Linked DNA regions of Daphnia pulex. Each later gene encodes a partner of the first gene's protein in a complex. Links are inferred from orthologs where the notes say so. Each region holds a gene or a part of one and is shown in the gene's direction. Other genes may lie near its edges.

Region 1 (4,085 bases):
TCACTAATGGAAATCACACCAGCGGCAGGCTACCAATTCGATTCACTGCTACGTGCGAAAATTTCTCTGTAAGCCTGAATGGTTAAATTCAATCTCTAAAAGGTTCTAAATACAAAATTGGACTCAAATCTACTGAGTGTTGTTAAAGATGGAACGAAATTTTTTCGTAAAAAGAAGGTGACGTCCGAACTCCGAAGACACGGATTTTTTAAGAAGGTTTTTTCGGACTTTCGGAGCCCAATTTAGATCGCTTTTCAGACGGCTCTTTCACATAGACACATGAGTTGAGTCAAAGACAAGACAAAGTCAAAGCACACATGTCACTTTTAATTAGTTTTCATGTTATTTATTTCAAATATTTCAATATTTACAAATTACCCGAAGGGTTACTGGTCAAAGTTTCGTTTGCAGTATGGTTTACATGGGCACCCTCAGTTCTCGTAACACTACATAGATGGATGCACTAGTTTTTGGCAATTATTGATTGTAATCAACAATTTTATTGCATTTCAATGGCAGTAATCGGTAGCTTACAATTTTTTACATCTATTCTGAAAATTTGGCTGCAATCAATTCAGGCATTTGATCAAACGGAGTTCTGGTTACTTTTTGACAGAATTTCAATAGCTGTTACAGCAGACGATAATACAGAGACATGTGACAGGGATATAAACGTAACGTGACAATCGACTACTATTGTATGATAGAATAGAAGTCACTGTATGTTATCACCGAACGCTATCAATCTCCAGTAACAGAAGTGCTGATAGGTAGTTACTTAAATTTAATTTTAACAAGATCCGGTGTGACGTGGGGTGGCGGGGCGAAGCCTCCGCCGCACCAAAGTCACGCGGAAATATTCTTTTAATCTCTTTCTCGATTTATGCTTATTACAATCTTCCGGAAACTAAGGGCATAAATTTTTTTTAAATGTTATTAATCCATCTTAATAATAGGCCTACCTTTATAACAGAATATTTTTATTATTCTATAACTATTCTATAGCTCTGTCTTTGTAAAACTATACCAATACTACTATACCAACTAGAATACCCTTAACATTCCCTTCGGGTACCTTGCGGCGTACGTACGCTGCCTACAGTATAACTAGGACTGGCAGTAGGCGGCAGTAGGCTAACACTAGACCAAGTGAGCACAACTCCTAGTGACCAAATTGCTCGCTAGAGGGAATCTGCAGACATTCACTCGCTCGCGTCATCACATTAGATTCCTGTAGATCAACTGCAGAAAAGAAGCAGTGATCCAAGCCATCCGTCAAAAGCGTATAAGAAAAAGAAAATTTCTCAAAACTTAAATAAATTTTATTGTCGATTTCAATCAATTTGTACCAAAATGTTGTACTTAGAAGATTATTTGGAAAGTATGATGAGTGTTTCAAGTGATGATAAAGTTCCCTGATTAAAATTTTTAAATTACCATCTCCCCATTGTAGTGATAGAGCATTTGCCCCAAGAACTGAGGGATCGATTTACTGAAATGCGCGAAATGGATTTACAAGTTCAAAGTAACTCTCGAATAAGTTGTAGAAAATGTAATAGGGATGTTCGGCGTGTCGGGCCGTTTACTTACAGTTTCCAAGTTGAATAAATTAGACACGAACAAAACCGTGTCTTTTACCTCTCGTCTATTTTAACACACTGAATATTGTACAGTAAATTGGGGGGGAATAAACAATAGGGGGGTAGGGAAACAACGACTGAATTTGGGGACCAACGACTGAATTTGGGGCCACCTATCGGGGGCCCCCAAGGCAATAGTCGCGTAGGTGCGCCGGTGTTGTTGTGCGGCGCCCTGATCTCGTCGTCGTCTGTTGGAATGGAATATTCCTAACACACTCCCCACCAGAGCCCGTAGCATCCGGCTCGACATCTTCGACGACGTCTTCCGGTTCTTCGGGAGCTGGCATAGCGTCTCCGATAGCGAGATCGATTTCTGGTTCTGGCAGAGTTGGATTTGGATCCTCTTCCGGCTCCTGGATCGGTTCCGGATTTCCAATTTCGACGTCTTCGGCGAGATCTTCTCGCAGCTCTATAGGGTGAAGACATTGAATGGCTCTATTAATTAAATTACCATTTGGAATCTTGAGCATGACAGAACGGATGAGTCCGTCGCGGCTTGGAATCAGTTCCTTCACTACTCCGGTAGACCACATGAGTCGTTTGGAGTGTTCGTCGTGGATAACAACGACTTCTCCTAGGCGGATCTTCCTTCCGGATTTTCCTTTGGAGTGGAAGTTGTCTAGTTGGAGTAGATAATCGTCGACGAATCTAGCACAGATGTCAGCGACATATTCCCTCCTGTTCTTGTCCATCTCTTGTAGTACGATGCTGGTCGATGTAGGATCCAGCAAGTTAACGGCTGGCTCCGGATCGGCACGAGTAGAACGTCTGTTGTTTAGAAATTGGTTAGGAGTTATCGGAAGTGGATCGTCAGCTCCTTCCCCAATATAGCTGAGTGGGCGGGCGTTGATTACGCTCTCGATTTCTGCTAAACTCGCTTCCAGTTCCATGTAGTCAAGGCAGGCTCGACCGTTGGAGCGTCGCAGCAGATCCTTGACGCTCCTCACCATCCGTTCCCAGAATCCTCCCCACCATGGCGCTAGGCTGGCGGAAAATATCCAAAGGGTTTTTCTGGACGCGAGAAAGTCTTGAATGATGGGATCGGCGTGAATAGTTCTCAGGAATCGGTCGACACATCGGAACGTTTGCGCGTTGTCCGAATACATCACTGAGACGGGTCCTCGTCTAGCTGCGAATTTTCGAAAGGCTAGTAAGAAGGAACGCGCCGTCATATCGGGTAGTAGTTCCAAGTGAACCGCTCGAGTGACTGCACACGTAAAAAGACAAACATAACTTTTAAGATGGTTCGTTTTCTTAGCTTTAGTTGTTGTTATTAAGATGTCTTGGATTTCGACATCTTCTTCGACTGAATCCTCTTCGCCTACGATTAGAGCTTCGATTGGAGCGTCTCCTTCAGCGGGTGGCTCCTCGATTCGCTCTTCAGTTGGATCGTCTGCTGGCGTCGGATCCTGGACGCTTGGTGGAGCTTTCCTTTTCTTCCTTCGCTGTGCTGGTTTGTACAGCAGTGGTCCAGCGAAATCGACTCCTGTAACGTGAAAAGATTGCGCATGTTTGAGTCGGTTTAAAGGAAGAGGGGCTGCTAGTTCTTGCTGTCGTCCTTTAACTATCCAGAATTTTTCTTTTAACTCGGATAGTGTTACTTTTGCTCCTGCATGTAGTAGTGACTCGTGTTTGTCTGTAATTAAGAAAGTGATTACTATATGTGATGCAGGAAGCAAAATTGGGGGATCGATGTTTCTATCTCTTAGGGCAAGTGATACTCTCCCATGGATTCGAACGAGACGGTCTCTGGCGTCCCAGATTGGAAAAAGTGCAGCGATTTTCTCCTTGGGCTGGATTGTGTTGTCTAACTGTAGCGATTCAAACGCCTTAGGATACCGCTCTCGTTGGAGCTGTCTGTAGATCGTTAGTTCCGCTTCATCCAGCTCCTCTCTGGATAATCTTGTAATCCGGATAACTTTTCCACTTCCTTTTCCATCTGGTCCAATTGCCTTTATCGACTCCATTCGTTCTGGACCGGGAGGTCTGAGCTTCTTTTGACTCCTGCTGAGGAATCGTGAGACCCAGGCTGTACGTCTTAACAGTCGATTCCAGGTGGAAATTTTGTCGAGATTCCAGTCGACGGAGGCTGTTGGAATTGCGATGGCTGCTGTTGTGCTGACCGTCGTACTCCTAGCTTCCGATTCCATTTCGGACTGGATTGTTTGTGGAATTTGGTCGTTGGGAGAATCTGGCCATTCCGTTTCTTCTCCTTTGAGCCAAATCGGGCCGTTCCACCAAAGAGTTGAGGTTACCAGCGTTGGCGCTGGCGCTCCCCGCGAGGCAAGATCGGCCGGATTTTGGAGACCTGGACAGTGTCTCCACCACTCGGGTTGTGAAAATTTTCGTATCGTCTCCACTTGGTTTCGGACGAATGGTTTCCATTTGTTCGGCTCTCCTCTAATCCATCCTAGTGCAACCAAGGAGTCTGACCAGTAGATAGTT
Region 2 (3,792 bases), on another chromosome or scaffold:
AAAAGCTCCGTCTCCTGGCATAATGAGCTCCTTATCATGCTGTAAGATGAGAGTCACTTGAAACTTTTCTCCATCCTAAAAAAATTGCACATTAGAAACATGAGACGTTAGACGTGTTGATACATTCGTTATTCTTATTGCACGTACATCCTCAACATTGCACTGATCGTATGGTATTTTGAGCCGAAAACGACGGCCACCGTTAGCATCTAGAAAGCACGGTGCCTTTCGTGAATAGAAGCTGCCTAAGTCAGAGAAAAATTTAGAAACGAAAATTTAAATTTTAAATCGATATTTTCTCTTGTTTTGTACCTCTGGTGTATATGACTCCTCTAAAATCGGCCAGTGTCTCTACTACCACTTGAAAATTGTTGCTACCGCAGTCTAGCCGGATCTGATCGAACCCCGAAGCCGTCACACCAATGTTCATACGCCCAGTCACATCTTCCCGCCATAATTCTGCAGTTGAAGGGAAAAGTGGTAATATAATTGAAATTACTTGACTTAGACTAGTAGGATGACGTAATTCTTGCAAGATTCCGTAGTTTCTTAACAAAAACATATCAAGTTAAAACGCTTTAATGATTCTCACCTTCTCCTCTTGACGTGAACAGACACAATAAGAATGTCAGAGACAAGAGCACAAAATCACGGACAAACATTTGATAAAGCTTTCAAAGAAATGGTGAGATGGCACCGGAGTCAGTCAAGCTGAACTGGTTTCAAGACTAACTGCATGCCGGTCTTTGTACGGAAACACCTGAGTTTTCCATCTGTCAATGACTTTCTCTGGGTTATTCTAGCCTCAGGTGATTTTTTCGTTCTTTCAGATGAATGCCAGAAGTAAAGCTTACTTCCGTGCGGCAGAAATAGCATGCACCGGCGGGAAAATTGGTTTTACTTTTGATTTTGAAAAATAACAATTGTAAAATTTAATTATACGTAAATGGTGAGGAACTGGCAAAGTAGCGATACCCACTGAGGCAATATTTTAAGGGTCAATTTGTGAAATGGTTGGAACTGGTTGGAACTGGCAATTTTACTGATAAAATGCAGCAGAATAATTCGTACCTTCATTTAAACAAAAATGTTATAGTCATGTCATGAATGTGTGTGATCTTGTCTTTTGCTTTTTCATTGTGTTCATCAACCTGGATAAGGATCGGGATAAAGAGCTTGAAGTCTGTAACAATTTTAATATTCTCTTTAAAGTGGTTCCTCAACACAAAACGTTATAACAAACAAGGTGAAGTGTTTTCAATTCTTTTTCTTAGTAACTAACTTCAGTCTTAAAGGGGAAGGACTGAATGAAGATTGAAGAACAAATATAAAATGAAAGAGACAGAATTTCTTTTTTTAGGTACAGTACGTCTAAATCCAGGAGAAGCAAAGTAGAAAGAATGAAAGGAAAGGCGGAAAGGTTTCTGTAGGATATAACGCCACCTAGCGTTGTGATTTAGCAAGAATTAAGTTTGGTTTTAGTCAATAGATGGCTTTCTGTGGCGTTGGCGTCTGCTTTTCCAGTTGAGGTTGTTTAGAAAAAACTAATTTTTTTGTGTAATTTTAACGTGAACTTTGTGTTCTCAGATCTAGTAATTGAATTCTCATAGTGTTTGTTTAGTAAAAAATAACGTCTATCTGTTAAAGTTCATCATGTCGCTACAACGTGAACGGCGTGTAAATGCGGGCAATCGCTTGTCAAAATTACTGGAGGAAGAAGAACAGGATGACGATTTCTATAAAAGCACTTACGGTGGATTCAATGATGAAGAAGATGACAATGAATTCGTTTTCAAGTAATTTAAAGTCTAAATTTGTATATTACATCAATAAAACAAATCTTTTTTTGGTCTAGAGCGGAAGAGGACCAGGATGACGTAGTAGACTCAGATTTCAGCATTGATGAAAATGATGAACCTATCTCTGATCATGAAGATGAGGGCACTAAAAGAAAACGAGGTGTAGTCAGTACCAAAGCGTACAAGGTATGTCTATTCTACTACAGAATTAACGAATGAAATCATTTTTAAAAATTTTCTTAGGAGCCTAAAGCTTCCTCGAGCAAACGCTTAAAGGGTGACAAAAATGCTGATGAAATGACAGAAAGAATAGCAAAAGCTGGAGAAAAAACAGAAGTTCCTGTGGAAGTCCCGAAGGTCAGGTCGAAATATGCCAGAAAGCCAAAAATTCCTTCACAGGCCAGAGAAAAGAAGGCAGTAAGGCAAACAACTGTATTGAAATCAGCTGAAACTGTACAAAGACTCAGGGAGAGAGAAACAAAAGGGAAAAGAAAACACAACAGGTTAGCATTAAAAATAATTCTTCATTAGAAATGTTTCAAACCAATCATTTATTATGATGTAGAAGGGACAATTCTGAAAAGTTAACCCAACAACAGCTTCTAGAAGAAGCCAAAGAGACTGAATTGCTTAACATTCAATCATTGGAAAAGTATCACCAACTTGAACTGGAGAAAAAGAAAACTAGGGTCGTGAAAAAGGCTCCTACTGGACCAACAATTCGTTACCTCTCGACGTCAATGCCTCTGATCCAGGAAGTCAACCCGGAAGCCGAGCGAATTAATGTCGAAGAAGATGAGGAAAAAGAAGATAATCCAGTTGTTGAGAATGGCACGGTAGCCACAGTCGACAGCAAGCAGTGTTGTGAAAGAACTTTCGTTACGTTTTCGAATGACAGTGTCTTGGAGGCTAATTTCAGTCGGACGAAAGTCACTCCACCTCAAAAGAATTTTTGTCCTATCACCAGGTCGGTTTGAGTGATCGTCTTCTCTTAGATGAAAGGGAAATATCATTCGTTTATCATATCTCTTTTCAGGCAAAGAGCCAAATACTTTGATCCGGTGACTCAGCTGCCGTACGGCACTCTACAGGCCTTCCGGATTTTACGTGAGGCCTATTGCCAGCAGCTGGAGGTGAAAGGAGACGCCAGCGATCCGGAGATCGGCCGCTGGAAGGAATGGCGTCAAAAGTACCGCCAAGCTCGACTCGCCGCTCTAGCTGCCGCTCGCGCTCAACAGGTCAACGCGCAGGGAAACTCAGCACCTGCATCGACGCCAGTTCCAGCAGTCAAACCCTCCAACTCGAATAACTCCACACCGACGATATGAACGAAATTCTCCTCATTTTTTGCAACCGACATGAATAAAATGGACATTTTTTGATATTTTCTTTCGACCATTAGACAATTTAGGGTTTCTTTCAACTCGATTTGTGTTTCATACGAACTTTGTCAGACTAGCAAATGTTATCGATGAATTATTCATAGGTTAAATCCTATCAAAAGCGTCTTGCTACACCTGCCGACAAATAAGTTGGCAGTGATGATGAAACCGGAAGGCGATCAAGACGTATACCATGTTCTTTAAACTTCAAAACTTGTACTATTGTGCTGCTCTACTACTAATTCAGTTGACATTAGTCACCCAGCAGTTGGTTCCTTACAGCGGAGCTACTCGTTTTGTTCCTAATTGGTGGACTGCAGGTAAAATCAGCCATTTTAAAAATGTGTTTCCAAAAATAATTTGAACAGCTCATTTTTGTCTTTTCCATTGTTAGCAAGACGTCAGCATTCAACCAAAACATTAAAGCCTCTTATCTTTTGTCCAGTTCATCAAGCGGCAGGCGGAGAGTGTCGCAATTCCGAGGATTGCTCTGCAGACGAGTGCTGCGTCCGCTCTACGGGGTCCCGTCTGCACCGGTTCTGTTTGCCGTTGCGTCAGACGGGCGAAGCTTGTCGACTCACTCAAAATCTTGTTGATCCATCACATGAACA
Region 3 (2,671 bases), on another chromosome or scaffold:
CAGATGAATGAATGATGATGAACCACATTGTAGGTTTTAAGGAGACAAAAGAAAATTTATACGTTTGAAAGACGTGGATGAAAGTTTCATCGCAAGCCCCATCTCTGAGTGGAACATTGCATGAATAGTTGCGACCCCTGCCGAAACCAGTGTCGTTGACTGAACCTGTACCCGGAAAATATCCTTCTTCATGTTTATGTAACGATAGCGTAAACACTTTGCGGCTGTAAGCGAAAGCATTTTCAACTCCGTCTCCTTAAATAAATAAAAATGGGTTTGTATCAATCCTTGTATACATTTACACTGAAAAAGGGTTGGACTTACCGTGGTGAATATCCAAGTCAATATAAAGTACGAGTTTGAATTTTCTTTCCAATTCTAGGATGGCAAGAACACCTGAAAATCCAATAGTTTTACCTTGTGTTTTCATTATAAAAATATTAAATTATTGTACAGTCATTGATGTAGCAGAATCCTGATGCACAATCTCTCTGAGCGTGATGCCAGCCTCCACAGAAATTTACTGCCACATCAACAGATCCAGAAACAAGTGCTTTGGCTCCTGCTACAGATCCACCAGCTATCACAGAGATAAAGTCATCAAGCTTGTCAAGTGGGGGGCAGTCAAATCCTTGATTAGATTTTAATGTGATAAATTAACATTTCCATTACATGTTTCCATATTCATATTACCTAAACCATATTCCTCACTGGATTCATCCTCTACATCCACATCACCTTTGAGGAATTCAATGTAATCGGCAGAATGAAATCCTTGAAAGACGTCATCATTAACTTTATCACAGTTTAAAAGCAAGACATGATCTAAGAGTCCATAAGATTCCAGCAAATGATGAACTAATGAGGCCTGAAAAGAAACAAAGCAAAAGTGAGATCAAAATACGTTATATGTACTATTGAAAGTTAGTTGTACATAATGCTTAAGTATGTCAAAATTTAACTGTGACATTTTTTAGTGGTGAATGGAAAAAAAATGTTACCCTGTTCTTCAGGTTTGGTACTCTATTACATTGATGAATTAATTCCGGTGAATATACATAGCCAATTTTAGATTTAGGGGGACATTTTATGATTTTTTCCTCGTTATCATCACAGCTCTTTTTTTCGTCCGGCAGTATACCCGCCATTTGAATAACGTTGTCTGCACCGCCACGTTCACTAGCGACATGGCGGACAATAAAGAAACCCGAAATTAAATGGCCGCCAGCATCGCCTGAACAACAAAAGAAAAGGGCGAAATTTTGGCTTGTAAAATGACTAAAAATACATCCAGCTCCGATTTACGATCTGAACTTTCTGACCTCGTCAAACGAAGAATCGAAGTCGCCGTAAGAATGAATTCAAATTTAACCTTAAAAACTGCCTACTTCATTGTTTATATTTGTGTTTTGTAGGAAACCCTAGCCAACTTGGAAAGACAAATTTATGCATTCGAAGGTAGTTACCTGGAAGATACACAGCTTTACGGAAATATTATTCGAGGATGGGACCGTTATTTAAACAGTACTAGCAAACTGTCAAACCCTTCATCTGACAAAAGGAACAGGAAATTCAAGGAAAATGAAAGACTTTTCTCCAAGTCTTCAATTACTTCTATGGCGGTAGAATTGCATGACACTTCTACTGAATTAACAGAAATAAAATTTCTTTCAAACCTAGGCTGTGAGCGGGATCATTGATCTGAATTCTGAGAGAGCAGAACGAAGCAGTGAAACTGAATCACAAGCAGGAATGAGTGGAAGTGACGAAAACAGCAGAGATTTTCTCGGTTTAGAGGGGGTCAATGGTGATAAGTTAGGAAAAGTTTCAAAATCCAGACATATAAATAAAAGAGGGAGCAAGAAGTCAAAACTGAAATAATTTCATATTCACTGTTCATTTTCCTATTCTCTATAACATGGTTTCGTGAATGCCCTTATGAATGTACCTTCCTAAGTGTTAAACAAACTTTATGTCTGTGTGTCAATTTTCTGGTTTTCTGAATAAATGCTCGAATTAAACATTCCAATGTTCTCGCAATTCATTTTCCGATTCAGACTTATTACGTAAATATGTTTCATCCTTCTATCGCCAGATGGATTTGAAAGCTCATTTGCTCCTCCCCCTCTCTTCCTTCTCTTGTTGTCACATGATCAGATGATTCTTGTCAAAATTCGGTAACCACACACTAAACCCTCTTACGAACCCTATTCGTTTGTATTGTATTATTCAGATCCAGTTTTAATCACACAATGTCGGGAAAAGACAAAATTGCCATTTTTCCTTCTCGAGGGTATGTCATATTTATCTTTAAGACGATTCAGTTGTAATTTAGAACATATTAGAGCTCAATAACAACTTTCAAGTTTTTGGTTTAATTCCTTTCTCTTGACACAATCAGAGCACAGACTTTGATGAAACATCGGCTTGCCGGTGCACAGAAAGGCCATGGTCTTCTTAAAAAGAAGGCAGATGCTCTTCAAATGAGGTTCCGCTCAATCCTGAAAAAGATCATTGATGTAAGTTGAAAAGGAATTAAGTATCTACTTTACTTGGCATTACAAAATAATTATTACTCAATGTTTCAGACAAAAGTACTAATGGGAGATGTGATGAAGGAAGCTGCATTTTCACTTGCTGAAGCCAAATTTGCAACTGGTGACTTCAATCA

What was found.
Region 2: inhibitor of growth protein 3-like (region 1) and vacuolar protein sorting-associated protein 72 homolog share a complex: the UniProt entries of both Homo sapiens proteins name them as parts of the nuA4 histone acetyltransferase complex. The link is inferred for Daphnia pulex from reciprocal best matches to the Homo sapiens genes ING3 and VPS72.
Region 3: inhibitor of growth protein 3-like (region 1) and chromatin modification-related protein MEAF6-like share a complex: the UniProt entries of both Homo sapiens proteins name them as parts of the nuA4 histone acetyltransferase complex. The link is inferred for Daphnia pulex from reciprocal best matches to the Homo sapiens genes ING3 and MEAF6.

Annotation. Positions count from the first base shown.
Region 1 is NC_060019.1:7,721,529-7,725,613, reverse strand, and holds the start of inhibitor of growth protein 3-like, read left to right. Parts: upstream 1-1,220; 5' UTR 1,221-1,353; coding exon 1,354-1,381; intron 1,382-1,453; coding exon 1,454-1,525; intron 1,526-4,085. UniProt on the Homo sapiens protein: Component of the NuA4 histone acetyltransferase (HAT) complex which is involved in transcriptional activation of select genes principally by acetylation of nucleosomal histones H4 and H2A.
Region 2 is NC_060028.1:9,610,787-9,614,578, reverse strand, and holds vacuolar protein sorting-associated protein 72 homolog, read left to right. Parts: upstream 1-1,371; 5' UTR 1,372-1,529; exon of another isoform or gene 1,530-1,587; 5' UTR 1,588-1,653; coding exon 1,654-1,796; intron 1,797-1,855; coding exon 1,856-1,985; intron 1,986-2,042; coding exon 2,043-2,302; intron 2,303-2,364; coding exon 2,365-2,766; intron 2,767-2,835; coding exon 2,836-3,127; 3' UTR 3,128-3,183; downstream 3,184-3,792. Other genes in the region: uncharacterized protein LOC124210054, read right to left, coding at 1-75, 148-245, 313-462, 593-662; uncharacterized protein LOC124210055, read left to right, coding at 3,375-3,501, 3,576-3,792. UniProt on the Homo sapiens protein: Deposition-and-exchange histone chaperone specific for H2AZ1, specifically chaperones H2AZ1 and deposits it into nucleosomes.
Region 3 is NC_060026.1:14,090,919-14,093,589, reverse strand, and holds chromatin modification-related protein MEAF6-like, read left to right. Parts: upstream 1-1,206; 5' UTR 1,207-1,274; coding exon 1,275-1,349; intron 1,350-1,415; coding exon 1,416-1,622; intron 1,623-1,680; coding exon 1,681-1,881; 3' UTR 1,882-2,021; downstream 2,022-2,671. Other genes in the region: histone deacetylase 8-like, read right to left, coding at 63-255, 325-396, 455-631, 694-868, 1,002-1,148; V-type proton ATPase subunit D-like, read left to right, coding at 2,253-2,293, 2,402-2,519, 2,589-2,671.